2 linked regions of the Notamacropus eugenii genome follow. The protein of the gene in region 2 binds, or shares a complex with, the protein of the main gene of each other region. Links are inferred from orthologs where the notes say so. Each region holds a gene or a part of one and is shown on either strand. Other genes may lie near its edges. The genes, in order: CXADR and JAML.

Evidence for each region.
Region 1: the proteins of JAML (region 2) and CXADR are in contact, whole or in part, in a crystal structure (PDB 3MJ7), measured with the Mus musculus proteins. The link is inferred for Notamacropus eugenii from reciprocal best matches to the Homo sapiens genes JAML and CXADR. Residues at the interface, in NP_001005421.3 of Mus musculus: Arg57, Asp59, Ala69, Tyr72, Phe75, Tyr77, Leu80, Val82, Glu120, Arg122, Ser127, Met128, Val129, Met130, Lys131; in NP_001020363.1 of Mus musculus: Thr23, Gly51, Pro52, Asp54, Glu56, Leu58, Ser60, Gln65, Ile66, Val67, Asp68, Gln69, Val70, Leu73, Tyr83, Lys121, Lys123, Lys124, Ala125, Pro126, Gly127, Val128, Asn130.

What each region holds. Positions count from the first base shown.
Region 1 is NC_092876.1:411,764,160-411,779,031, reverse strand, and holds the start of CXADR (coxsackievirus and adenovirus receptor), read right to left. Parts: upstream 5,944-14,872; 5' UTR 5,849-5,943; coding exon 5,806-5,848; intron 1-5,805. UniProt on the Homo sapiens protein: Component of the epithelial apical junction complex that may function as a homophilic cell adhesion molecule and is essential for tight junction integrity.
Region 2 is NC_092876.1:280,579,042-280,594,234, reverse strand, and holds the start of JAML (junctional adhesion molecule-like), read right to left. Parts: upstream 7,735-15,193; 5' UTR 7,703-7,734; intron 1-7,702. Other genes in the region: MPZL3 (myelin protein zero-like protein 3), read right to left, coding at 10,591-10,734, 13,876-13,939. UniProt on the Homo sapiens protein: Transmembrane protein of the plasma membrane of leukocytes that control their migration and activation through interaction with CXADR, a plasma membrane receptor found on adjacent epithelial and endothelial cells.

The sequences.
Region 1 (14,872 bases), about 130 Mb from region 2:
TAGTCTTGTACTGATTGAAGCTTTCCAAGGCGTGTAATCTTTCAACACTAAGTCTCGGAATCCTTATCTTATGACTTCAAGGCTGGGATAAGAAGCTCCATTTCCATTAATTCCTTCCTTATTAGTGTTCTCTGTCTCTCCCCACTACCACCACCTATCCCTGCACAAATGATCTATTCTCTTCTATTTACTTATTTGTGTACATGCTATATTCCCTAACAGAATGCAAACTACTAGGGGAAATAGGCTATGCCACCTTTATATATCCAGCACTTAGCACAGTGCCTTAAACATAGCAGGTTCTGAATATTGGCTGAATTAAACTAAACCCTACTGAATTATAATTCAAACTTCTTATCCTAGCATTTAAAGTCCTAGACCAGTAAACAGAAATTGGAGGCCATTAAATTTTACAAAGGATTCCTACAAGCTGTATATTGACTTAGAAAACCAGATATTCGCATAATCTATGTTCTATTTTATTTTTACTTATTGTTAAATATTTCCCACTTAAATTTTAACTTGTTAGTTTGAAGTAGGGAGATGTCTCTGCCCTAGCTGATTTACTATCACTCTACAATTAATGCTACCTTATCACTGCTTTTAGTCTAAAGCTCCAAGCAAACGTACTTTTAATATGCCATTTCCTATACCTGGAATGTCCCTGATTTTAAAGTACTATTCAAATATTATTCTATGAAAATTTCCTGTGATCCTCCATAATTCAATATAATAACTACAACTCCTCACATTTCTACAGTACTTTGAAGGGTTTCCGTTACAGTTACAATCATTGTAAAGGTTGTACATGGACCCTCCTCTGTTCTCCCTCTATACCAATTCACTTGATCTCATCAGCTCCCACTGATCTGTACATTCTCAAGTCTACCTATCTGCTGGCCTTCAACCTCTAATTTCCAACAGCCTTTCAGGCATTTAGAATCAAATGGCCAGTAGAAATCTTTAACTCGGTATACCCCAAAACAAATTCATCATCTTTTCCCCTGCTCCTACCCACTTTCTTAGGACTGTAGAGGGTAATACCATCCTCCCAGGCCCTCAGTGTGTCATCTCACTGCCACGTTCAATGTTGTCAAGATCTCTTCAATATGCCCCCTTCTCTCCTGACACCACCACATCTCTAGGTGAAGGCCTCATCACCTGGAGCTTGCAATTGGATCTGCTTAAGTCTTTCCCCACCCCAATCCATCCTCCAATCAGACTTCAAAGTGATTTTCCTAAAATACAGCCACCTTCCTCCTACTCAAACTTCAGTGTCTCCCTATTGCCTCCAGAATCAAATACAAAATGCTATTGGGCATTGAAAGTCTTTATAACCTAGCCTCCTCCTACCTTTCCAGTCTTCTTACATCATTCTCCCACACCACATCCTCTTCACCCCAATGACACTGGCATCCTTGCTGGTCCATGAACAAGACACTCTAACTCTTGGCTCCTGGCATTTTCTCTGGCTGTCCCCCCAACCCTGGAATCCTTTATTTCATCTCCACCTTCTACTGGCTTTTCTGACTTCCTTTAAGTCTCAACTAAAATCCCATTTTTTACAGAAAGCCTTTTCCAACCCCTCTTAATTCCTTGCTTACATATAAAACTGTTACTATTTATCCTGAATACAGCTTGCTTTATATAGGTGTTTGCATGTTGTCTGCCCCATTAAATTATAAACTCTCTGAGGCCAGGGGCTCTTTTGCCCCTTTTGTACTTGCAGCATTTAGCACAGAGTCTTACTCAGTAAGTGCTTAACAAATGTTTGATTATTTTTAATTGATGCTGATGACAGGTAACAGAAACTCTGAACTCCAATTAAGTTTTATCCTTCCCAAAAGAATTCCATTCTTCTCATTAGACCCATATTATTAAAAAATTGTACTCAATTATTATTATATTTTTAATTTCATCAATAAAAATTTTGTGGAAATCTGTTTTCTTTTGTTATATAAGTACTTACAAAATATCCTTGAGTTTGTCTTTTGGCCCACAAAGCCTAAAATATTTATTATCTAGTCTTTTACAGAAAAACTTAGCTGATGCTGATCTAGGTAACTTCTAACCTTTCCCTGGTCATCACTTCTCCAAAGTGAGTTATCTCCTCCATTAAAATGTAAGCTCCTCGTGTATAAAAATGGCCATTGCTTTTTTATTTGCATCCCCAGTACTTAGCACTGTGCTTGGCAAAAGCATTCATCCATTCCTTCTAACTACTATCTTGTATTAATTATTTGTGTTTATGTCAGATCCTATCAACAGACACTGAAATTCATGAAGGAGAGACTTATGTAATCTTTTCCTCTCTCCCAGAGACTAAGTATAAACACATCAGATCTTTAATAAATGTTTGTGCAGTTTAGTTGAGATATCCAGCAGGCACGGAGAAATGTAGGACTAAATCTCAGGGAGAGATAACAGTTGAATATAGATAAGGGAATCATCCAGAGAGGATCATTAAAGGTGGATTCAAAAAGAAGGGAATATGTGTAATTAAGATGATCTCAGTACACCTACAAAGAAAGAACTTAGAAATAAAATTTAGAGCAGGAAAAGACCTCAGTCAGAGAAATTTAATCGAGTCCAACTCCAAGGTTTTTTTCATGAGAAAATTGGAAATCGCAGAGATAAGTGACAGGCAGGATATGAATCCAGGTCTTCAGAAAGTGGTGGTGAAGGGAATAAGCATTTATAGCGCACCTACTATGTGCCGGGCTCTCATTTTATCCTCATTACTACAACATAGGTGCTATTATTATCCTCCTACTTTACTGTGGAAGAAAATGAGGCAAACAGAGGCTAAGTGACTTCTGCAGGGTCATATGGGTCAACTAGCTATAAGAGTCTAATGTTAAATTTGAACGTCTTTCTGACTTCAGGTTCAGTATCGTATCCACTGTGGCACCTAGTAGCCAACAAAGCCAGTTCTCTTTCCACTCCACCAAGAAGCCTTTTCTATGCTTAGAAAGGTAGAAGAGAGAACAAAGACATAGTGTCACAGAATCCAAGGGAAGAAAAAAAGTGCTTAGAAATGCTGCACAAAGGAGATGTGGCAACAAGCCCTCTGATTCACAGTTTAATCCATCAACTACTTTCTAGTGGTTAAAGTTCTACCTAGGCAAACAAATAGTATGTATACTGAATATGGATCATCTTGATGGGGTGCTCAGACCCTGACCCTAAGATCACGTCTCTGAAAGTCTCCCAATTTCTCTGTAGGGCCTTGTCCTCTGAGAAAATTTTCTCTTGTTGCAGAACACATTCCCTTATCAGAACAGAGGCGTGCCTCGCCCAAGGACTCTTCTTCCTGCCAGATCCCCAAGTTCCATACCTCTGACATCTCCCTCAATGTCTGGTATGCTCCCTACACTTTCCCCTCCATAGCTCCCAAAGACACATGGACCCTTACATGACCTAATTAGTATCCCTGGACTTCCTTTCTCATGTTCCTTTTTCATATAAACCCCAGCACAATCCTCAGTCTCTTCAAAGTTCCATAAGGATTCTTTCCCACTTTTGCTAAAGTGTTACAATAAATTTTTTGCCACTTGACTAAGAGAAGGCTTGAGTATGTGAATTCATTCCAGGCAAATTTGCCTTGGCATTCTTGGGGTCCCAGCACCCTCAAAGCTCTCCAATCTTACCAGAAGATTTCTAAAATTGGCACTAGGAAATCTGAAAAAAGGGCAGGGTTGGTACAATGAAAAGGACTTCAGATTTTAAAGTTAGAACTCCTGGGTTTGAATTACTCCTCTTCCACTTACTGCCTTTGTAACCTTGGATAAATTACAACAGGTTTTCTCATCTATAAAAGGGGTTAGGTGAAGTGATCTCTTAAGATCCCTTCCTTAAAGCAATCATACTACTGTATGAGAGAGCTCAAATTCCAGGGAAGAGAATGTGAATTTGAATGTATAACCCAAAATAGGACTAGCAAAATGCTGAATTCTAGAAAAAATTTATCTACAATAAAACACCTGGCTAAATCCAATTAAAACATTTCATTGGACTGATCATCTAGCTGACTTGTTCATTTCTCCATTTCAATACTTCAAAATGTGATTGCTTTCAGCTAAAGAAAGGCTCTCCCAAGAGATACTGAAAAAAGAATATAGGTAAGACCTAGTTTTACCAAGCAATTTAAGTCAGCTTTAGGTAATAAAAAACAGATAGTGCTAAAGTTTCCAGTCAGTGATTGCTTTCCAAATAGAATTTTCATGTCATGAGTAATAAGTCATGACAGCAACAATGAATTTTACATTTCAACAGGAAACGGAAAATGCCATCCCAATTCTGTAGCAAAATCCACTTAACATTTAACCTTCCAGGTGCTGTGCAAAACACAAATCATAAAGTTCTGAAATAGGAAAGTCTGACAAAATAAACGGAACCATTTTACTTTCAAAAGAGTTGGCACCAAAAAACACTGCTTCCACAGGAAAAAAAACAAAAGCTAGGTCTACTTCTACTCCAAAAACACACACACACACGTGTGTCTATATATATGTGTGTATGTATATAACATGTAGATATTATACTTCCCTCCACAGAGAAAATCCTGCATAAAGTTCTTTAAGAATTCTAAAACCCCACATGTCATTTTATCCAAAAGAACTCAGAAATTAAGAAATAGAACAACTCAATCCTCTCTAATGCATGGATACCTTTTTTTTTCCTCTACAGAAACCAATCCTTTTGCAGGAATCTCCATAGGAGTTCTTCAAAACTGTCCCATTACTCAAGACATCTCTATTTTTTTAATAAGAAATGGTTCCTGCTTAGACATTCATAATCTATATTAACTCCTGCTAATCTTTACTCAGCACCTTTCTCCAACAGAACTGGTGAATCACAGGTGCCACCAGGGCACGGAGACCTTTTAAAAATGGCAGACTGTTCATGATCTGCAATTTTACCTTCTGAAGACTTCAAATACAGGTGACCCAGGCCGGAAACGATAAAATGACAAACAAAAGTGGGCCAGAGAAACCGAAAACCAGTGGGAAACGCATCGATACCATAGAAAAAAGACAGGAGCCCATGAGGAAGGGCAAGCGGAGCTGGCCGGGCTGCAAGGTCCCCAGGCTAGGACGTTCTCCGCTCCCCTCCCCTCAGTCTCCCCAGTCCAGACAAACACACCAGTGACCCCCATTTGGGGGCCAGCCCTGGAAGGGCGGCTGATCCCTGCCAACAACACGGCTTCAGCTCCAGGGCAGGAGTGCCAAGAGGATTTCGCAAACGTCTTTGTTTCACCGCTCCCTCGGGGGCTCGTCTCTCCCACAGGGTTGGATTCCCGCAGACCATCAAACGAGCCTCGAGGTCCTGCAGGATCCCGACATCTCCCCAGTCACCCCTCGAGGTCCAGCAGGGAGATCCCGAGGATCCCCACAATCACCCCTCGAGGGCCAGCAGGGAGATCCCGAGGATCCCCACAATCATCCCTCGAGGTCCAGCCAGGAGATCCCGAGGATCCCCACAATCACCCCTCGAGGGCCAGCAGGGAGATCCCGAGGATCCCCACAATCACCCCTCGAGGTCCAGCAGGGAGATTCCCGAGGATCCCCACAATCACCCCTCGAGGTCCAGCAGGGAGATCCCGAGGATCTGTCCGACCAGGAGATCCCAAGGTCACCCCTCGAGGTCCAGCAGGCTCTCCCCGACCTCCAGGCTAAGCCCCTGCCCCCCCTCCCCCCCCCCCCAGAGCCCTTTCCAGCCGCTGCCCCGCACGGTTCTTTGTCTCTCCGCCCAGGGTACCCGGGGCCAGTCCAGGCGGACCCGCGGGCATTCCTCGTCACTCACCCGCGGTCCAGCACAGGAGCGCAGCGCACAAGAGGAGCTTCATGGCGAGCGGACGCCCGGCTCCGCGCTCACAGCCTGCCTGCCCTCACTCCGGTCCGCGCGCTCCCAGCCCGGCTCGGCACACCTCGGAGCCCCGTCCTCTCCCTCTCCCAGCCCGCACCAGGGCGAGCAGGTGAAGCTGGCGTCACTTCCGCTCCGGCGGCCGAGCCTGGGCTTCCACCCCGCGCCTATGCCCGAGGGGTCAAGGTCCGACCTGGGCCCGCTAAGCTTCCGCCGCCGGCCCCACGCCGACGCCCCGAAACCAGCCTCTGGGGCAGGGTGACCCCGGGAGGCTACGCGTGCCCGCTGGGAGCCAGGGAGCCCAGGCACCCGTAGCCCGGCTCTCCTCCGCGCTGGCCACCGCCCACACTCCCTAGCCTTGTCTTTGAAGTAGGCCGGCCCGCGATCACATTAAAAGAAGAAGGTGTAGCAGCCCCAGACCCCCGCCTCTGGGTGAGAGAGCTGCGTCCCGCGGGCAGAGTCTGGGAGCTCTCCCTGGGGACGGGACACACTTTTCTGCCCGCGGTTGGGCGCAGGTTTACGCTTCATTTTACCTGACCCCTGGCCTGGAAGAAAGAATGGGCAAGTGTCTGGAAGGAAAGCCAGGCTCTCCTTGTATCCCCTGGGGAAAAGAAAGAGACAGCCTTAAATTTCAGCCAAAGGAGGGAATGGGAAGAGAAAGAGTTGTCTTAACTCTAAACGCAGTTGACAACTACGCATATTAAACAAAACGAGTTGTATACATTATTTGTCTGTGTATGTTAAAAGGACGCAGTTGGAGGGGAGGGTGGGCAGGTTCCTCTTAACAAAATAAAGGCAAAATTCTATATATATAGTGAATATACTGTATATGTAGTAAGTACCACATTTAACCAGCAATGTCATTTTTAGGGCTGTATCCCAAAGAGATCATAGACATGGGAAATATTAATAGCAGCTCTCTTTGTGGTGGCCAAGAACTGGAAATTGAAGGGATGCCCATCCATTGGCGAATGACTGAACAAGTTGTGGTGTATGAATGTAATGGAATGCTACTGTGCTAGAGAAATGATGGACAGGAAGACTTCGGAGAGCCTGGAAAGACTGAAGTGATGCTGAGTGGAAGGAGCAGAACCAGGAAAACTCTGTACACAGTAAGAACCACAGTGTGCCAGGAATTTTCCTGGTAGACTTAGCCCTTCACAGTAATGCAAGGACCTAAAACATTCCCAAAGGACTCGAGGCAAAATGCCTTCCACATCCAGAGAAAGAAGTATGGAATTGGATTGCAGAATGAAGCAGAGTATTTTCTCTAGTGTTATGGTTTGTTTTATGGTTTCTCCCATTTGTTTTAATTCTTCTATGCAATATGACTAATGTGAAAAATGTGGTTAATAAGAATGTATGTGTAGAACCCATATATAAGACTGTATGCTGTCTCGGAGAGAGGGGGAAGAAATCTAAGACTTATAGAAGTGATTGAAGAAAACTGAAAATATATTAATTTTAAAAAGAGTGGTTTAAAAAGAGTGCTCATATTTAATTTCCCAAACTGCTGACTCTGCCCCTAGTTAATCTACCTCACCAGAAAGTACCTGTTTTTAATTATAATGAAGCTAAAATAGTGTGCAGTAAAATTCTTCATGGCAGGGACCATAGGTGCAGTGGAAAGGATGCTGGATTTGGAGTCCAGAAGACCTGGGTTCAAAAGTTGGCTCAGCAATTCATTTGCCTCCGTAACCTAACCAAGTCCCAATTTCTCTGAGATTATTTCCTCCTCTGTAGAATGTTGAGATTATATATATATATATATTAAGGTCCCTTCCAGCTCTAAATTTATGATCCTTATGCAGACCAGAGCATCTTTCTCACTCTAAGCCTCCAATTAGTTATTCCAAGTTATAAATATTTGGGGTTGGGGAAATTTTACAAACTGTTATTGCCCCCCAACAACATTTTACTTTGTCCAGTCAGCCATAACAATACACAGTTTGTAAGAGGCATTTTAGTTAAACTAGTCATATGACATTCCTCCCATAAAAGTTGAGCTTCCATACACACTCAGTAAGAAGAGTGGACATCCATAGGAATTAGATCCACACTTGCAAAAATGTATCCAAGGCATCTCTTTTTACCAGATGTGTACAGAGAGAACACATTTTTCCCCTTCCCTTCCTTCCCCCATAGCTACCATTAGACACAAATAGGTGTGTGTGTGTGTGTATCAAGTTAAGTAAATTTCATTTTTTCCTTCTCTCTTTTTTTCTTCTCTTCTCCCTCCCCTCCCCCCAGGATGTAGACATAGAGATGGGATGATAATGTATTGGAGGGGCAACTCACACCCCTTGACCCTGCAAAGCTGCCAAGGTCTTCTACAAAAGACATCACCCCGCCATTGTCCAGACCAGCTCCCCAGAAGGCTTTGTTCTCTGAAAAACATTTTTTTTTTACATGCCAGCTGGTCATCAGCTCTGTTTTCAGGGTCATTTGAAGCAAGTTCCACTGTGGAAACTGGTTACAGCTTTCTCACCATCTAAAAAGCCAGCTGCTCCATTCACTGAGAGAGAGTGCTGTGCTTGATTAATGAGCATCTCTTCAACAGCTTCCTCTACAACCTACTTTTTCTGTTTCCTTCTGCTTCCACTGTAGTTCTGAGATAAAAACTTCAGACCACCTGAAACTCTGTACTACATCAGGTAGAAGTGCTGTGGTATCCTTTCCTATGAGAAAACTCAGCTAGTCAGTGACACAATAAGTATTTATTAACTTTTATTAAGCAAGGCACTTGGCTAAGTACCGTGTATACAAAGAAAAACAAAAACACCTTTCCTGTCCTCAAGGAGCACACATTCTAATGCGGATGAGAACATATAAGGAAGTATATGTAAATATAAATATATATGGAAAATAATCTCAGAAGGAAGTAATTTGGAATTGGGAGGGGAAGGGTGAGTGGGTAAGGAAGAGACCAAGAAAGACACACTATAGAAAATGGTATTTTTTAAAATTATTTTATTTTTAATTTATGGAATAAAACAAGGATTTTCCTAACATGGTATAATAAAAAAGCTGATTGCACATAAAACTATAAATCTATTATGTACAACTTGTTATTCATTTTAAATATATAATAATCATGCTAATTTCTTATTTTCTTTTTTTCTCCTCCCCAGATGGCTACTTTTAGACAGAAATAGGGTGTCTGTGTGTGTGTGTGTGTCGTTGTTATGTAAATTTTTTTCTTTTTTCCTTTTTTTCTTCCCTAGAGATGGCTGCCATTAGGCACAAATAGGTATATGTGTGTGTATATATATAGATACATAATATATATATGCATATATATACATATATACTATATATATGCAATTATTTATACATCTGTTTATCAGTTCTTGAAGATGAGATGGAAGTTGAGTTGTGAAGGAAGCCAAGTAGTTGTGAGGATGGCGAACCTTCCAAGGAAAGAGAGGCAGCCAGTGAAAAGGCACAGAAAGGAAATGGGGGGTATGTGTGAGAAACAGCAAGTAGGCCAGCATACCAGGTTTATCAAGTACATAGAGGGGAGAAAAGGTATAATGAGACTGGAAAGGTAGGAACACACTAGTTTATGAAAGGGTTTCAAAGTCCTATAGAGGATTTAATATTTGATCCTGGAGGTAATAGGGAGGCATTGTAGTTTACTGAATAGAGGTGATGCAGTTTGGGGTGCTGGCTGTAAGAATACAGGGTGAGTCTGCCTGGAAAGAATTCAAGCACTCAAGCCTTCTTTCAGTCAAAGTAGGAGGTTTATTTTAACCCCAGTAGAGCGGGCTAGATTCCTAATGAATCTGTGCTTTGATGGAGATGAGAGTGATACTTATAATACAAAAAAAGACAGTGAGAAGATCTAGATGGGATTAAGGAGTGATAAATAGCCTAGGGTGGCCCAGGTGCAACAGTGAAAGGAGTAAAGTGGTCTGGGGTGGGTCAAGGGAACTGTGAAAGGAGTATTAAATGGTCTAGTGTGAGCCTAGAGCCACCATGAAAGAACTGTTAAGTATCTAGGTGGTCTGGGATGGACCAGATGCCTCAGGCAAGTTGTCTATGTTGTGAAATGAAGGGGGAAATTAAGGAACTGGGCTGCTTTCAAAGATATAGTATTTTCCTTTTTGTGAGTTCAAGTCCCATCACCCCATCATTGGGAGTAAGAAAGAGGGACATGATGTGGTCAGACCTGTGCTTTAGGAAAATAACTTTAGCAAATGAGTGGAGGATAGACCCTAGTGGTGATAGATTTGAGACAGGGAGACAAACCAGGAGGCTATTGCAATAGTCTAGGCATGATGAGATTAGGGTCTGTAGCACATGTGTAAATAAAAAGAAGTGGATATATAGAAGAAATGCATTTTTTCCTTTGTTTCTTCTCCCTGGTCCCCCCATTAGACACAAATATGTGTGTATGTATATGTGTACACACACACACACACACACACACACACACACACACACACACACACACACACACACACAAAGTCAATTGACTAAGAACTGCCTGAAGCTGGCCTGGTCTCCATTCCCAGGCCAATGAATTGCCTGAAGTTGACTAGACTTTGTCAATTCCAGTCTCTGATTATTTTGTAGACCTCCCAAACTCTCCCTTCCAGAGACTCCCAAGCTTTCTTTATGGATTTTTGCTTGTTATGTAAAAACAACTTACCTTAAGAAACTGTGAGATGCTCAACCCCTCCCATCTGCAGCCTCCTCATTCTATCAGACTTAGTACCCTATAAACCCTGTTCCCAGTCTTCTCCTTGGATACCTCAGCAATTGCTATGTGGCCTCTAAAGCTATACTCACTCTTCCCAGAAATCTCAATTTTGTTGTATTGATTGCTTTCATTAAAATTTAGGTTAAATGAATATATTTGTATATATATATATATGTATATACATATATATGTATATATACATATATATATGTATGTATGTATATATATGTATATATACACATATATGTATGTATGTATATATACACATACACACACATATATGTACACATTCATGCATATATATATGTATAATCATTTTATACATGCTTTGATATAGATAGCATCTTTCTTCATAAGTTCCTTGTATTTAATTTCAGTATTTATAATAGTCAAAATGACTTGGTTGCTCAAAGTTGTCTTTAAAATAATATTGCTGTTGCTGTATACGATATTCTTATTCTCTTGGATCTCTTTGTTATTTCGTGCAAGTCATTGCATGTTTTTCTAAAATCACTGAGCTCATCATTTCTAGCACAGTACATCAAAATCATATACCACAACTTGTTCAGCCATTCTACAACTGAAGGGCATGCCCATAATTTATAGTTCTTTGCCACCACACACACACACAAATGCTACACGTTATTTTAGAACATATAGGTTCTTTTCCTTTAGAATATATATGTTCTTTTCCTTTTTCCCTGATCCTCTTTGGAAACAGACTTAGTAGTGGTACTTGCTGGATCAAATGGTATATACAGTTGAATAATTCTTTGGGCATAATTCCAGATTATTCTACAAAATGGTTTGATCAGTTCACAATTCCACCAGCAGTGAATTACTGTCCCAATTTTTCCACATCCCCTCCAACATTTGTCACTTTACCCCTTCTATCATTTTAGCCAATCTGAGAGAGATGAAATGATATCTCAAGGTTTTAATTTGCATTTCTCTTATCAACAATGATCTAGAGTATTTTTTTATATGACTTTCAATTGTTTCAGTTTCTTCATTGGAAAAGTGCTTGTTCATATCCTTTGGCCATTTATCAATTGGGGATGACTCATATTCTTATAGATTTAATAAAGTTCTTTACATATTTGAGACATGAGATATCTGAGAAACTGTCTATAAAAATTCTCCCCCAATTTTCTGCTTCTGATCTTGACTACATTGGTTTTATTTGTACAATCCCTTTTAATTTAATGTAATTGAAATCATCCATTTTACATCTTACTCTGCTCTCTAGCTCGTTTATTCATAAATTATTCTCCTTTTCATAAGTCTGCTAAGTAACATATTCCATGTTTTTCAAAATTTCTTGTAATTTCTCTCCTTATTTCTAGGTCATGTATCCATTTTGACCTTATCTTGGTAAATGGTGTAAGATATTGGTCTCTGCCCAATTTCTGCCATACTGCTTTCTAATTTTCCCAACAATTTTTACCAAAAAATGAATTCTTATCTTAAAACTTAAGTATTTACTCTTGTCAAATACAAGGTTACCATGTTCATTTGTTGCTGTAAATTGTATATCTACTCTGTTCCACTGATCAACCTTTCTATTTCTTAGCTAGTACCAGATAATTTTGATAATTACTGCCTTAGAGTTTAACATCTGGTACTGCTAAATCTCCTTCCTTTACATTTTTTTCATTAGTTCCTTTGATAGTCTTGACTTTTTATTCTTCCAGATGAATTTTGTTATTATTTTTTCTAATTTAGTAAAATAATTTTTTTTTTTTGTAATTTAATTAGGATGTTATTGGATATATGAATTAGTTTAGGTAGAATTGTCAGCTTTCTCCCCTCCCCCAGTAGCTTCCACACATACTCTGATTAGGTCACACTGGATTCTTTGCTGTTCCTCATATAATCCAAACTCCAAGCATTTTTGTTGGATATGCCCTATGCTTGTGGAATGCTCTCCCTCCTCCTCTCTGCCTCCTGGCTTTCCTGTCTTCCTTCTTCAAGTCCCAGTTTAAATCTCACCTTCTCTAGGAAGCCTTTCCCAATCTCTTAATTTTAGCACATTCCCTAGGTTCGTTATTTCCTATACAATCCTGTGTATAGCTTCTCTGTATACAGCTGCTTTCAAATTGTCTACACCATCAGACTAGTCCTCGAGGCCACCGGTTCCTCACCCCTGAGCTAGCTGCTCTAGAGCATAACCAACAACGAGTGACTGAAGCCGACCTAGTCCGCATTCCCAGACCCAAGAAATGCCCCCACCCCTTCCTCCCCAACCTCTATTTTATAAATACTCAACTCTTCCCTCCGCGAAGGAAGATTAGCCGGCTTTCTCTAAGGACTTTTGGTCGTTATGTAAAAACAATTTCCCTTGTAAGACCTAGGAATGCCCCAACCTTCACGAACCCCTCTCGCTCTGCCTTGGTACTGTAAGAACCCCCATGTCCAACCCTCTCCTCACATACCCCAACGCTTGCTGCTGCCTGGCATCCGGAGCTACAATTTCCTTGCCTTGACTAAAGATCATAATTTTTGCTATGTTGGAGATGTTCTCTTTAATTCAGATCTACAGTGTATATATAATTTGTATACAATTTATAGGCACATGCTATTTCTCCCCAGTAGAAGGGAAGCTCCCTGAGATCAGGGACTCATTGGGTGGGGACGTCTGTGTCTACAGCAACAGTATAGATCAATACTCAATTTATAGATTGAATTTTCCCCACCTCTCACAGCAATACCTCACAGTCCTGGGGAATCTCTCTACACATATACTTTGTAGCAATACACTTTGTAGCACTAAGGCTGTGGTGGAGTAGGGGAAGAACATTGAATTTAGAGCTAGCAGACTTGGATTACAGTCATTGTGTCATTTACCACGTGACCTTCTGCCAAGTGACTTTCCTCTCTCTTTGCCTGTTTCCTTAGTTGTAAAATAAAAAATTTGGACTAGTTTAACTGATCATTCCATCTTATAAATTTAAAAAGGCAACTTAAAATGATTTGGGTCAGTTTCAAATGTTAGAATTTTCTCATTAACATATTTCCTCAAAGCTTCAATGAATTTGGGGTGAAAAAAGAACCTTAGACATTGTCTAATCCAGCTCCTTTATTTTATAGATAAGGAAACTAAGACCCAGAGAAATTGTGACTTTTCCTTTTTATAAAAGTTTCATTGATGCTTACTTTTTTACACTAGATATATTTACAGATTACTCCCAGTTTCTGAGAGGTCTCATTACAAAGTAAAGCAATTAAGAAAACTAATAATACAGTTACTGAAAGTTATGTTGACTCAGTGACCCACTTTCGCCAGCCCTGCTTGTCCGTGGAGTATTGAAGAAGGCCTCACCCTGATATTTGTAATGTAGCCAAGTCACCCCCAACTTGGAAAATGTCATGTTCTAGCTATCTTGGGAAGGAACTGAGATAAAGGGCTCAACCTCTTGGCCTACTGAATTGTTTTAAAATTACCTGTAAAAGCTGGCCCTACCTTAAAGTTATTGCTGATCTCTAGTGATTGGCTTGGTCTACACATTGCTATCCTGAGGTACTTGTAATAAACTCCCTTTACTTCTTTTTGCTCTGAGTTTTGCCTCACTAATCAGGGTGAAGAATTTTCCTTTTAACACAGTGATCTCATCTTACATGTAGCATTTCATGTATGTAGCACTCTCTCATGTAAAAGAAAATGAACAGAAATCTGTTTTCTTTTATTCCCACTCCCTACCCTACTGGGGAAAAAAAAAAGAAAAACATCCTATAATAAATGGTATATAGTGAGGCAAAACAAGTTCCCTCATGGACTGTATATAAAATATGTATGTTTCATTTTAGGACCCTCATTAGTCTTCTGTAATCATGAATCATGATTGATTGTATTGATCATAGTTTTTACAGCTTTAAAGATTGTCATTAAAGTATTATTTTTACTGTGTAAGTTTTTCTCCTTATTCGGTTTATTTCATTCTTCTTGAGTTTATGAAAGTCCTCAAAATCGTTCATCTTTATAATGTAGATGTTATAATATAGATTGTTCTTCTGGATTTGCTTACTTCACTCTCCATCAGTTCATACAAGTTTTGCCATGTCTTTTTGAAATCATCTATATCTTCATTTCTTATAGAAAAATAGTTTCATATACCACAATTCATTCAACCATTCCTCAGTTGAGGTAAATCCATTTAGGTTTTGTTTTTTTTTGCTGTTACAAAAAGAGCTGCTGTAATATTTTTTACTTAAAGGACCCTTTCCTTTCTCTGATCTCTTTTGGGTATAAGTATAGCTGTGATGTTGCTGGGTCAGTAACTTTTTTGTGTATAATTCAAAATT
Region 2 (15,193 bases):
CCAAGGTAAATGAACTTATCCACAGCATTCAAAACTTCTCCATTTGTTGTAACCAATGGTTCCATGTATGGATGGTGTGGTGGTGGTTAATGGAGCACCTATGTTTTCTTGGTGCTAATTACCAGGCCAAAATTAGCACAGGCAGCAGAGAATTGATCAATACTTTGTTGCATCTCAGTTTCAGAGGCTGCATTGAGTGCATAAATCATCTGCAAACAGAAAATCATGCACCAACACTCCCTCCACTTTGGTCTTGGCTTGTAGCCTTTTCAAATTGAAGAACTTACCATCAGTACTGTAGCTGACCTTGATGCCATGTTCATCCTCACTGAAAGCATTTGACAGCATGGCTGAAAACATCATGCTAAAAGCATGGGAGCAAGCACCCAGCCCTATTTCACTCCACTGGTGACTGGGAAAACACGAGAGTATTGTCCACTATCCAGAACCAGGGTAAACATGCCATCATGAAATTGATATACAATACTGATGAATTTCTCTGGGCAACCAAATTTTGACATAATTTTCCCTATGATCTCACGACTAACAGTGTCAAAGGCCTTGCTCAGATCTACAAACATTGTGTACAGACCTCTCTTCTGCTCCTGGCATTTCTCCTGGAGTTGTCAGGCAACAAACACCACATCAACTGTTCTTGGCCCTTTCTGAAGTCACACTGGTTCTCAGGTATATGACCATCTTCCAGGTGAAGGTTCAGCCTATTAAGGAGGACTCTAGCAAGAATCTTGCCAGAAATGACTAAGAAAGAGACCCCTTCTGTGATTGTCACAGGACAATTTATTCCCTTTACCTTTATAGAGATTGACAATGGAGGCATCCTTGAACACCTGGGGGATAACTTCCTCTTGCCATATAACCTGGAAAATTTCAGTCAGCTTTTGTATGAACAATGGACCCCCTACATTGTAAATGTCAGCTGGAACAGAATCAGCACCAGGTGCTTTGCCACATGAAAGGAGCCTAATGGCCCTCAAAACCTCTTCTTCAGTTGGAAGTTCAGCTAAGGCGGGACTGACTTCAACTTGAGGTAAACAGTCACTCCTTATAAAGATTCTTGATTGATAAAGGCAAGACTCAATCAGAGGCACTTTATTATACTAAAACAAAAACCAGCAAAAGATCCCATTTTGATTGCCATCACAGCAATCAATTGTATATTGACATTGGGGTGACAACCCTAAAATGCAATACAAAGCAGTCTAACAATTTCACATTTGAAAGCACTGACTACATAGCTTTGAAATTCTCATCTGTCTTCTCAAATGAAGCATAAACTTTATTTAAGTATTGTGAAAAGGTGAGCAATAAAGTGCCAACTTTGGAGTCAAGAAGACTGGCGTTCAAATTTCCCTTCAATGAGTTGCCTATCTACAGGGACAAAAGAGTTGCCATGTTAGAAGTTCCCTACATTTATGAAATTACAAGTCTAGATCCTCCTATACTCCCATCCCCCCCTTACTAAAACCAAAGAAGAATAGGTAGGGCACATGAACAAAGTAGTAGATGGGCATAGAAGGACAAAAGTCCTAATTCAATGAATTCCATCCATGTAACAGAACAGCCACATGAGGTGGCTGGGGCAATTTGTTACCAGGAACTGATGATGGAAGAGAGGAAATTAGTCAGAAGGCAGAGAAATTCTACAACATCCAAATCAGCAATGCAGTCCAAACTTCATCCTACCTACCAACTCCTCTGGAGGGGCTCAGGTCCTAGGAGGATGATTCCTCTGCACCAGGGGTGGGGAACCTGCAGCCTTGAGGCCACATGTGGCCTTCCAGGTCCTCAAGTATGACCCTTTGACTGAATCCAAACTTCACAGAACAAATCAACTTAATAAAAGAATTTGTTCTGTAAAACTTGGACTCAGTCAAAAGGCCACACCTGAGGACCTAGAAGGCCACATGTGGCCTGGAGGTTGCAGGATCCCTACCTCTATTCTAAATCGTTCAGCTTCTCAGTCAGGTCTATTTTCTATTTCTCACAATGGAAGAGGAGTTCATCCCCTTCCAGCAGAAGGAGAACACATCACATAAATAAGGTAAGAAGAAAGGACTTATGAAGATACAAGAACCAGTGCTTGTCTTTCTTCTGATAAGTCTAGATCTCTTATATCATGTCTGACTTTATTCATAACACACATGTGAGCAAGAAAGGATCACCTGAAAGTTTGCAATTTCATTTTCTAATTCTTAACTCTATCGTCACTAGAAAAAAATCAGCAAAGTACACCAGAAGGTCATACAAAAAAAGAGGCATCATGGAGTAGCAAAAAGAACCCTGGTCTCATAATTAAAAGACAAAAGGTTCTGGTACTGGCTCTGCTACTAACTCCTTGTGGGACACTGTCCAAGTCACCTTTCTGACCTTCTATTTCATGATGTGTAAAATGGGGAAGGAGGGGAGTGGTGGGGAGAAGGTAAGTGGAAAATAATACCTGTTCTGCCTTCCTTGTAGCTATTCTACCAAACAAGAAATATGACAGCGTCATTTATTACTACTTTGTAAACTACTACCAAGTACACTAGAATAGCAAAATATTAGAAGCAGTGTGTCCAAAGGTTGAGGAATGGTTGAATAAATTGTAGTATAAGGATACAAGGCAGCTAGGTGGTGCAGTGGGTAGAGCAGCAGCCTGGAGTCAGGAAGACCTGAGCTCAAATCTGGCCTCAGACACTTATTAGTTGTGTGACTCTGGAAAAGTCACTTAACCCTGTTTGCCTCATCCGTAAAAGGAGCTGGAGAAGGAAATGTCAAACCATTCCAGTATCTTTGCCAAGAAAATCCCAAATGAGGTCACAAAGAGTCAGATATGACTGAAACAACTCATCAACAACATAAAGATATAAAGAAATAGTTTTGCACTTTAAAAAATGATAAATATAAAGAACTCAGAGAAACCTAATAAGTCATAAAAAGAAATACAGAATGAAGAAAGAACCAAAAGAACAATTTATACAAAAATTTCTTTTGCTTTTGATTTGAACAGGTAGTTAACTCTCTATTCAGAAATTCCCATTAATAATGCTGAAAAGCGACTTGTCTGCTACTTTTTACAGCAGTAGAAAATTGTTTGGAACATTGAGAGGTTAAGAGACTTGCCACCAGTCATAGAGTTAATATGTATCAGAGGCAAGACTTGAAGGCCATCCCTTCTCTCCACTATAACCAATCTGCCTCAAACTGATTATAGCTGTGGAAATAAAGACATTGCACACCAACAAAATACATTTTAAATTCATCAGACAACTCTGTCACTACCTTGTTAAAGTTAACATACAGCTTTTGCTTAATAATCAATCAGTAAATACAGAAGTGTACAGATATATGCACAATCATTTGTGTCTTCTGTTTTCTGTGTTTTCATTTGGTTTGTTTTTTTCTTCTTTTGTCATTGTTTCTGTATTTCAACAATACTGGACAAGGAAAGTTAAAACAAAACTTAATGAATAAAAATATTTCTAAAACAAATTACAAAATATTTTTTTAATTGTAATAACAGAAGTTCATTACGATAAAAGCACATAAGACAAGAGGAAAGTAATTTATTTGCATGGATGTCTTTAGATCGGATTCAAAGGATCATCATCAAGAACAAACAGAAAAGTCCTAAGGACCATAACCCAAAGTGACCAAACTGGTTTGTAAATTTTAGAAGGGGATGGCAAGAGCAGAGAAGTATGAATTACAGTGAACACGAGAATTTAAAAGTGAAAGTAGTAGAAATCTTTTGACATGACTAGTGATTGCACTGATTCAGATACACTAAGAGTCATGTTAAATTCCCCCAAAATTGTACATACATATAGCAATAGCCTGACACAAGGTTGGTCAGTAAGGTGGATGTCAGTTCAGTAGTCAACTCGTGTACCATCCATCAGAAATAATCTTAAATATAATTTTTATAATAGTTGAGCTAATGATGACTCATCTAGATATTAGACCTCAACTGAAACCATCATTGTGGACATTTCTTAGAACTCTAGCACTGTTTAAAAAGGAAACCAGTGACAGAGAGATGGCCCTGAATCTGGCAGCCAATCCTATGTGTTACTTAGTTACACCCAAAACAAAAGGGGGAAGCAGTCCTTTATCAGAATCTAATACATCTACAGTATTTTCAGAAAACCGTGTCCTACTTTCTCTAAGGACTATAAGATAGTACTGCTGATCTTCATCAGTGGAGCAAGTTTTTACACCCAGAGTTCCCTATATAGATGAAATCTGATTTTCTTTTAAGAGATTTACTTAAAAAGACAAAAATACAGATTCACAGAATCACATTGTTGAAAACAACCTCACAAGCCATCTCATCCAACTCATACCTGAACAAGAGGTCTCCTACAATACACTCAAATGGTTAGGCAATCTTTGCTTAAAGATCTCCAGTAAATGTGAATCTACTACTTGCCAAAAAGGCCCATTCTACTTTAGGATACCTCCCACCAGTACGAAGTTTCTCCTTACATTGACCCTAAATCTGTGTCCTTCACTTCCACACACTGGTTTCAGTGCTGCCCTCTGGGACCACACAGAACAACTCCAATCCATTGCTCTTTCATTCAACAGCCCTTGAAGATACCAATCAAGTCTCCTCTTCTCCCCACAAGCCATCTTTTTTATCTGAGCTAAAATCTGCAGTTCCTACAACTGATTCTCACACAGCCTGCCCTCACTATTCTAATGTCCCCCTTCCCTTCTTGACACTCTTAAGATTGTTTATGGATTTCCTAAAATGTGTTGCTTAGAACTGAACAAAATATCCAACATGTGACTTGGCCAGAAAGAGAAAACAGAACAGTCATTCGTCTCATCTAGGACATTCTCTGTTTCTCTTAATGGAGCCTAGGAACACATTGACTTCTTGGCCACTAGATTAAACTGCTGGCTTTCATTGAGCATGGGAGGGCTCTAAAATCCCAATTTTTTCAGATGAACGTCCTCTATCCATGTTTCCCCCATCATGAACCTATGAAGCTGATTTTTTTAACTCCAAGTTTAAAATTTTACCATTAAATTTCATCATTAGTATTTGACTCAATGTTGTATCTTGTCTCTTGGATTCTTGACTTTGTTATCTAACTTTAGCTATCCTTCCCAGAGCTGTCATTTTACAAATATGATAAGCATATGATCTGTGCTTTATGCAGATCTTTGATAAAAATATTATAAATAGCCAAAGTCTCTGGTTGGGGCATGCTAATGAAAACTCCCAGTCAGGGCATTACTGCCTACTATTTAGGTCTTGCCATTTGAACAGATACAATTACCTGAACTGTCCGATCCACACCTCTCTATCCCTTCCAGAAGGATAATATGAGATTTTCTCAATTGCTTTGCAAGAATCTAGGTAAACTCTATCTATAGCATTCCTCTGATCATAGTGATTCTATCGATCATTTTTCACTACTGGCTCTTTCTCTGCTATCTACAAATATACTCAGATCTCCTCCCATCCAAAAACCTTTCACCTAACCTTCAAGCAATCATCTATGTCTGTCTCCTCATTTTCATAACCAAACTTCTAGAAAGAAGTTATCTTACATAAATATTGTCCACTTTCTTTTATCCTGTTCAGCTTTCAACTTTTGTTGACGTGACTTATGACCCCATCTCTCAACTCAAACTGCCATCTCCAAGGTTATACACAATTCAACTGCTAAATCCCATAACCTTTTCTCAGTCTTCTGTCTGACTTCTCAGAGGAATCATGTGAAATAAACAGAGAAAGATGGGTTAGGAATAGCTTTAAGGGCTCAACAAGAGGAATTTGTATTTTATCCTAGAATCAATAAGGAGCTGCTGAAACTTTTCTAACACTTTCAACTAGCTCCTCATTCCAGACACTCTCTCTCACTTTGGCTTCCAGGACATTGCTCTCCTCTGCCCACCTTGGTTCCCTCTTCTACTTGTCAGCATTTACGTTTGACCTCCTATGTGCATATGTTTACAGGACTCTGTACAGGCCCTCTTCTCTGAAGTCTCACTTGGTGATCTCACCACCTCCTAAGGTTCAATTATCAGCTCTATATCTAGCCTTTACCTGTCGTGAGCTCCAGGCCCATATCACCAACTACCCATTGAACATCTCCACATATACCATCCCATAAGCATCTCAAACTCAAAACGTTCAACAAATGCCTTGCTCCCACTAAACTTCATCCCTACCCTTCTAGTCTCTCTGGTTCACAGCGTCAGTGGCATCCTTAATTCTTTTCTCTCACTCACTCCACATCTCCTCAGTCTCCAAATCTAGTTTCTGCCTCCACAGAATCTTACCACCACTCTCATAGCCCTAGATTACCACCCTAATTCAAGCCCTCACCATCTCTCAGCTAGATGATTAAAAGTCTTGAAAATGGTTTCCTTGAGAGCAATCTCTCCCCTCTCCAGTCTAACCTCCACACAGCTGCCAAGTTGGTATTTCTAATGCACAGATTTGACCATGTTACCACCATCCTCAACTTCCCCACTCCCCTAAATCACCATTCCCCAAGTTGAAGTTTCAGGGGTTCCTTACTGTTTCTAGGATAAAATACAAATTCCTCTTGTTTAGCACTTAAAGCTGTTCCTAACTCATCTTCTTCAACTTATTTCATATAACTCCTTGGGTGCTCTATATTCCAATTAAACTGTTTTTGCTTTCTCTTATATTGATATGAAATCTGAGCCTCTCAGTATTAATTTTCCTCCCAAGACCATTTAATAAGTACTTTATAACATCCCTTCCAACCTTAAGATTCTACAGTTCTATGATTCCATGACTATATAAAAAAAGTGTCAGCTCATGTGACCTCAGACACACGGGTGTCTTATTAGCACAACCTAAGCTATATCAAGAGGCAGCTAGATGACTCAGTTGATAAAGTGCTGGACCTGGAGTCAGAAAGACCTGAGTTCAAATCTGGCCTCAGATACTCACTAGCTATGTGACTCTGGGCAAGTCACTTAACCCTGTTTGCCTCAGTTTCCTCACCTGTAAAATGAGCTGAATGGCGAACTACTCCGGTATCTTCCAAGAAAACCCCAAATGTGGTCACATAGAGTCAGACAAAGCTGAACAAAAACAATCTATATCAGAGATAACTCTCCTCCTACCCCCAAGTTGGAAAGGAATATGAGTGATAACAGAATCCACATCCTTCCTAATCTCTCCCTCCTCAGTCACGTCATGACTCCTCACTAAGATCACAGCCAGACAAATGATGTGACAAGTACGGATTCTGTCAAGCCCCAGAGACCCAGCAAAGTCTTAGTGGCTTCTTGGTATAAGATCCTGGCTGTTGTTGGGAGTAGAAGGAATAGAGTCATACAGTCTTCTCACAGTTTTAAGCACACCTAGGCAAAGCCCTGCCTAAGATGACAGTTTTCATTGATTCATTTTTGGCCTCTTATTAAAAATATTCCTTATTTTTCTTCTGTCACAAAGCAACTTATCAAAACACACAGAAAATCTAACTAACTTGGTCATGACTTACTGGTCCAGTTAGGTCCTAACAAGCTAAGACACCTCACTCCCAATTCCCCAGCTAAAGCTAACACCATCACATAGACACAGTCTTATATGACTCAACAGTGGGGTTAAAAAAAAAAAAAAACAACACTTTAGCAACATCCTTCTTCTGATCAAGAAAATGCTCAAATGAGATAACTATTTGGAAAATTAAAGAAAAATGCTTACCTAAGGTGATGACATGCCAGGAGAGACACTACAATTATAAATTCCTCAGATGGTATTGCACTCCCCCACAGTCTGATTCAAGTAGATCCTAGAGGTATTAGAGCAAATCAGATATGTGCATTTTGAGGCAGCTGAGGAGAAATACAGGAACTACAAGCATGAAATTCTTGTTTCAGTCTTTCAGCCCACAGTATGAACCCAATGCTTTTATTTAAAAAAAAAAAGCTTTAGGGGCTGACTTACTGAAGGAGCCGTGATCACATCTGTCCTGTGTTTATGTATGTCATTTCCCACACTAGATTGTGAGTTCTTTGAGGGTAGGTAATATCTAATCTCAGAGCACTTACCATAGCAGCTTATGGATGGTAACCACTCAGGAAATATTTGTCGAATGATTGAATGACAATCTTCCAACTTGAGAGGGAAGAAATCATTTGTTCTATGATTTGAGTCACAGCGGTCTGCTATTATTTCCTTTTTTACAATATTATACAAATCTGCAGGGCAGTCATTCCCCATGTACTACATCCCATTAAAAAACTGGCACCTCCCAAGCCCTCTGCCTTACTACCCAGACCTGCAGACTTTCACAATGAAGTTTCTGTGGCAATGTATTGTTGTTCAGTTATTTTTAAGTCGTTTTGACTCTCCACGACCCCATCTGGGGTTTTCTTGGCAAAGATACTACAGCTGTTTGCCATGTCCTTCTCCAGCTCATTTCACAGGTGAGGAAATTGAGGCAAAGAAGATTATCCTTTACAGAATATAGACCCCAAGAGCTCCACCATTATATACCTTGAATGAACATCCTATGTAAGTAAAAATTAATGCTAGCGGAAAAGTCTGGAGCCCAACCTTTTTTCCTCAAAGTGAGGCATCAACTCAAAGCAAAATAGTCTGCTTCATCTATTTCAGCAAGTTTAGACAGGCCTTTTTGCATACTCTCTTGATGTAAGGCATGCTGCAGATGAAACCCTCCTCAAAATCTAGGATTAAGTCCTTTCCCAGGTATAATTAAGAGACGACCCTAACTTTGAAAACCACTAGCCCTCAACTCTTACATGAATAATTCTGATACTAAATAAGCAAAGCAAACAAAGTACAGCCTGGAAACGTAAAAAGGAGTTTATTGTCCACATCATTGCAAACATCTACAGTGTTTACAGACAGAGGGCCATAAGTGCCATTTCCACATGCAAAACCACAGGGAGACTCAGCAAGAATGGAAGGGCTTTGTGAACGGAACTTCCCCTTTCAAAGGGGAAGACAAATAATGAAATGGCTCTTCTTTAATGTCGATGTGAAGGGAAAATGTTAGTCCACCAAGTGCTGTACTTGGAGTCAGGAAGACCGGTTCAAATCTCACCTCAGACACTTAAGCTCTGTGATCCAGGGTAAATCATTTAACCTCTCAGTTTTTGCATCTGTAAAGAAGGGGGCTGGACTCCACAACCTCCAAGGCCCCTTCCAGTTCTGAATCTACCTCATAAACATCCCTCTGGTCCTCTTGAAGTTCACCATTTGCAATTGACTAGATCATACACGAGGACATTCAGGACAAAGGTTATACACCAATATTCAGGTGGTAGCTTCTGGGTTTCTTGTTTTAAAAAAAAAACAGAAAACAAAACACAAGTAACTCACTCTCTTGAAGTACCAGTGCCTATCTATTCTCAGTGCTGGTAAAGAAAAAACTGCTTCCCAAGTTACCTGATGCAATCAGATAGACAGTAAACCTAAGGCCCTTTCCTCTAAAGCACATATTTAGCCACAAACTCAATGACTCTTGGTAACAGAAACTCAGAAAACAAAGATGATAATATACCATGAAGCAGAAGCTATTTTAGAAAGACAACCCCTGCATAGAGCTTGCCAGTGGTAAATTCCCATTCTAGAAAAGTTTCTCTCACCAATCTGAAAGAAAACTAAAAATAGAACCTAAGGAGGTATAAAAACAGCACAGGATATCTCTACATAAAAGATATACTGTATCTTTTATTCATCCCTAAAGGAGGCAAGTATATAACTTCTCAACAATTCTGAGGAGAGGCTGAGGACAGACCTCACAGGAGTAATGGAGAAATTGATAGCAGCTTTATACCCTGTGATGTGACCACAACCAGACAGAAAAGTCTCAATGATCAACTTACTCCTTACCATAAAAGCCTCTACTGTTCAGTCATTCTAAAAGGAGGGGCCTTGGTCCAAATCGTGATTAAGATTGTAAAATAATACTATTGAGCATTCACACAGGACTGTTCATGCAAGAATCACAAACGTACCTCACTGAATTCATCCTCAAGCCTGCAAGAAAGGTATAAGATGACCCAGTCAAAACAGGTTTTCATTTAAAAGGACATAGCTTTAACTAGGCCATCCTGAAGTATTATCCCCCTTCTCAGGGAGCTGAGGTCTCACAAAATGCTTACATTACAGCTAGGAACACTTAAAGGTTCGACTTAATGCCTAAATTAACTCTCTTTCTTTTTCTCTGTATTTAAAAGTTAGAAAGAGTTTCAGTGGATCGGCCCCTGAAATCAATTATCACATGGTCCAAGAAACTGTGAAGCTACAGGGACAGGCACGGTTACAGGAAAAAAGCAAGCTGCTAGTCCCAGATTTGGCTGGAAGGTTTGTGCGATCTTGGGTAAGTGACAATCTCAGTTAAGTCACAAAAATTTCTGATTGGTAAAACAATTTAACCAAAGAGGGTTGGATAAACCAATGGGGCAGACCACAAAGCTTCTGAACTCATTCTGTATTCAAAAACAAAACAAAACAAAAAAATGTGGGCTAAAAATCTAAGGAGAGGAAGAGAACAGTGGGTTTTAATGTCACATATTTTGTGGAGTTTCAGAACTTGGAAAACACCAGAAGCACCAAATTAGTTATAGAAGAAAGGGCAAAAATGGAAAGAGTTTTTCTGAATACAAAAACTGAGAAAACAACATACCTCTGGATTGCTGAAACATACTATCAACTTTGGCACATCTATTTCTTAAAGTCTTGTGGCAGATCCAAGATGTATTTTTCTATACATGGGGAACAAAAAGTAAAACCTCAGCACATAAAATATGTGCACTTTATCTGGCTAGTCATGCACTAGAGAATTAAGCCAGAGCACACAGAGCACAAGGAGGGAAGAAGACAACAGTGAGAAAGTCTGAGGCCTGTGCTCACTTCTGATCCACAAGACCTTCTGCAGCGACATCTGAAACAATCACTAGTGTGTATATTCTGCGCATTTTGAAGATCAGCGATTCTGAAAGGTGAGAAGACATCGCCATTTAAAGATAAAAGCTACAGCAGCCTATAATTTCAGACTGGAAAACTCCCAAAGACTGGCCTAAAAGTGAAGGGGCCGAACAGACAGCAGCGGAGTGTGCAAGGAAATGTGACAATGAGATATTGCCCACTGCAACCCCAGCCCGATTCTGATCTGGCGAGCCAGGAGAAATCAATTCTATCGCCTCACTACTCTTTTCCTTGAATATAAACTGATAACATTTAACATGAAAAAAATACAGTACTGAAACAAAGCAAAATCTGACTAATCTTACATGATTACAGTTTACACAATTCAAATGATCTTGAGATTATAATATACAATGAAATTTTGCAGCTCCAGTAACAGGAGAGAAATAAGCAGTGATTACTATTCAATTAGTAGCTCCAAGCTAAAAACTGACCAAGCAAAACACTATTACAAATATTTTCATCTGACAGGAACAAAAGGATGTTACAATGACATTCCTTTGAAAGAAAAGATCCTCTGTAGTCAGTAATAACAATATTTATGATTCTCCTTCAAACAATTGGAAGAAAACATAGAATGCATAGAGTGCAACATAGACAATTTATATCTTCCTGCTCAGGAAAATAGTTCCTCGGTCCAACCAGAATATAACTTACTAAACTAGAATAAGCAGAGCTCTGCTTTTTATGCATCTCTTCTATTAAGATCTTAAAATGTTTTATAAATATAAAAAGGCCATTTCTTCAATAAATTAAAAGTTACTGGACAGTCTTGACTACTGAACTCCAGGTTCCTCCAACATGGCTTTCCATCATGGCAGTCCAAGTCAACTGCAATCACACAAAACTTCAACAAATAAAGGAACAGGACTTTTGTGCAGATCAAACACATGACTCGAGTTCTGAAGCCAGGTAGTCTTTAAACTGTCATCAATATGCTTCTTCAAAGTCCGAATCCTAAATGGAGAAAAACCATGCAGAGATAGCACTTCAGCAAATTAAGTCAAAGACTCAAAGCTTTTCCCAGAATATGGCTTAGTTACTACCTGGCCCAACTTCCACATACGGAAATTACCATTAGGTAAATGAGAGCCAAATCTTTAAGCAACAGACACCTGCCATCTCCATTTCTGCCTCAAAGGCTTTCCAGTCTAGCATGATGCTTCATATTTACAAAGGTTGTCCCAAAAGTCTTAGTGAAGTTTTACATTTTAATAGCATAAAAAATTCTGGCAAAAGGAGGAGAACAGTGGGCTTTAATGTCACACATATTGGGGAATGCCAGAACTTGTAAAACCCTAGAGGCACCAAATCAGTAACAGCAGAAGGGGCAAAAAATGGAAAGGGTTTTTTATGAATAACAAAACTGAGCTATAGAAAGCTACTGAAATATACTGAAAACCTTTCTTCATATGGTACACATATTTCTTAATGTCTTCTAGCAGATCTAAAACATATTTTTAAGCTTTAAGAGTTTAAAACTTCAGGAAGGCTTTTGGGACATCCTGTATATTCAAACTCAAATTTACACTGCACATAATCAAGATTGTAAACATGTATTCATTTCATATTATCAAAATATTTTCATTCAAATGTGTTGCCACACAACCCTTCAAATGTAGTATCTTAGATATTATGCTTAGTTTAACAGGTAAAAGGAAGAAGAGTCCACTGAGAATTTTAAACATAGAGCACTACAACAGATATAGAGGTGAAACAATATAGCCAAATCCTGCTAAGTGCTGAATCTGGTCATAAATTTGAGAAGAAAAAATTTCAAAACCTACACTAAGAAGTGTATGCCATACTTAGAGCATAAATTTGGTCTCCTAACATCTCTACATCAGAGAGCCACTATTGCTGTACAAAAAATATTGGAAGCAAGCAAAGCTATCATGAGTCACAAGCGCTACAATGATAGAAACAGCAGCCTTTCCCTTTTGAGTTAAAAGACAAAGCACCAGTTTTCTAATCCCTGATAGGGAACTTACGTGGTGAAAGTCTATCCATGCTACACAAGGTGCAGAGACAGATCTTTCTGCACAAAGACCCAATGGATTTGTTCATTGTGCCTGACAGTGCTTTTTAAAAAAATTTTCTCTCTTGGTTATTTGGGAGTTGGGGTGGCAATAGCATTGCAAATAAATAAATGGTCATTGAAACACTTTAAAAATTCTATCCAAGCCACATAAATGATCACAAAATATCAACAAAGTGTGAGGAAAAGAGAAGCCAAATGCAGCACCAAAGTCAGTAGAGGACCACATACCCCCCCCTAAAATCCAAGACCCTAAGTATGACAAATTTAAAGAAGCAAGCAGCTACAGAGAGTGAAGTTTAAACATGACATGTTTTTGTGCATGACACAAACTGGCCATCAGGAAGGAGAAATGCTCTCTTCTCCACATTTCCTCTAGATAATAAGGCAGAAGAGAGAAAAAGCATGGTAATGCAGACAGTAAATTGCACTTGGAGTCAGATTACTTGAATCCCAGGGGTAAATCATCTATGTAACTAGCCTTTTGATCTAGAACAAATCACTTAACCCTAATGAAGGAAAGTACCCTCAGCTGTGAAATAGCAATACTGTATGGACTTTATCAGGCTGTTGAGGATTAAATAAAATAGTGGGTGTAAAGTCATAGTAAGAGTAAAGAGCTATTGAAATGTGAGCTACGCATTCTCAGGGAATGCTCCACAGAAGCGCTACCAGCACCATTTTATGTCCACAGATCAGGGGTAGAAGTTGAGGTGGTTAGGGATGGTAAGGGCTTCCTGTGGCCACAATTCTTTCTAAGACCTTGGTTCATGCCTCCTTCTGGCCCCACCTGCATTATCTCAGCTAATATCACAGCACAATGTGTTTCCTCAACGTGCAGAAAAGTTAAACAGACAGTTAAGTGGAAGAAACAGCTTACCAGGCATTCAGCACAACGGGTACAAAGTCTTCGCATGCAGCCTTCATCTTCTCCCTGGTCAGTGCTATTAAAAAAAAAAAAAAGTGGGCAGAGTTAGTCAAAATGCCCATTACCAACCTCCCCAAAATAACAACAATAACTGATGTGTTGTTCAGCTGTGTCTGACTAAGACCCCATTTGGGATTTTCTTGGCAAAGATACTGGAGTGTTTTGCCACTTCCGTCTCCAGCTCATTTTACAGATGAGGAAACTGAGGCAAACACGGTTAAGTTACCTGCCAGGGTCACACAGTTAGTAAGGATCAGGGCCAGATTTGAACTTAGGTCTTTCTTACTTCAGGCCTGGCACTCTATCCACTGTACCATCTAGTTGCCCTGAACAACAATAATAGCTCCCATTTATATAGCACTTCCAGCTTCGCAAAGTGTTTTGAAAATATTACTTCATTTCATCTTTGCAACAACCCTGGGAGGTAGGTGCTATTATCCCCATTTTAAAGATGAGGAAACTGAGGCAGTAAGAGGAAAGTAACCTGCCCAGGATCTCATGGTTAGTAGATTCCCAAAATCAAATCTGAACTCAGGCCTTCCTGACTCTTGTGTCCAGGACTCTTTCCACTGTGCCATGCCTCAAGTAAAGGGTCATATCTGTTTACCTGGGTCTTCTACACTGTTCAGTAAAGCACAACGCTTGTGTAAGAGTATATTAAATGTTATCTGATTGTGCTGATGATATAGCTGCATCCTAATTACACTCTAACAGAGCACTTCCTGACCAAAACACTTGCTTCCTCACCAGAGCTGAGGTCTTCTCTCAGCCTTCACCTTTCTTGACCTCTCTGTCAATCACCTTCTCCGTGATACTCTCTGCTCTCTCCACTCTTTGGTAACCCTGCTCTCTCCTGGTCCTCTCCCTATGTGACTGCTCCTTCTGAGAGTGCTCTGCTAAATCCCCATCCATATCACACCCACAACCATAAGTGTCCTCCAAGGTTCTGGCCCAGGCCTTCTTTTCTTCTCTTTATATGCTATATGCTGATGATCTCATCAGTTCCCATGAATTCAGTTATCATCTCTATGCTGATGATCTCCTTATCCAACCCAAAACTTTCTCCTAACCTCTAGGCTAGAATTTCCAACTGCCTGGTGGACATCTCTAAGTAGATGTCTTAGACATCTTAAACTCAACATGTCAGACACTGTACTCATTATCTTTGACTTCTTGCTCTCCCCTTTTCCAAACTTTCCTATCACTGAGAAGACTACTCCCACTCACCTGAGCTGTCAGCCTCAATTTTCACTCTCTCCTACCCCCAAAA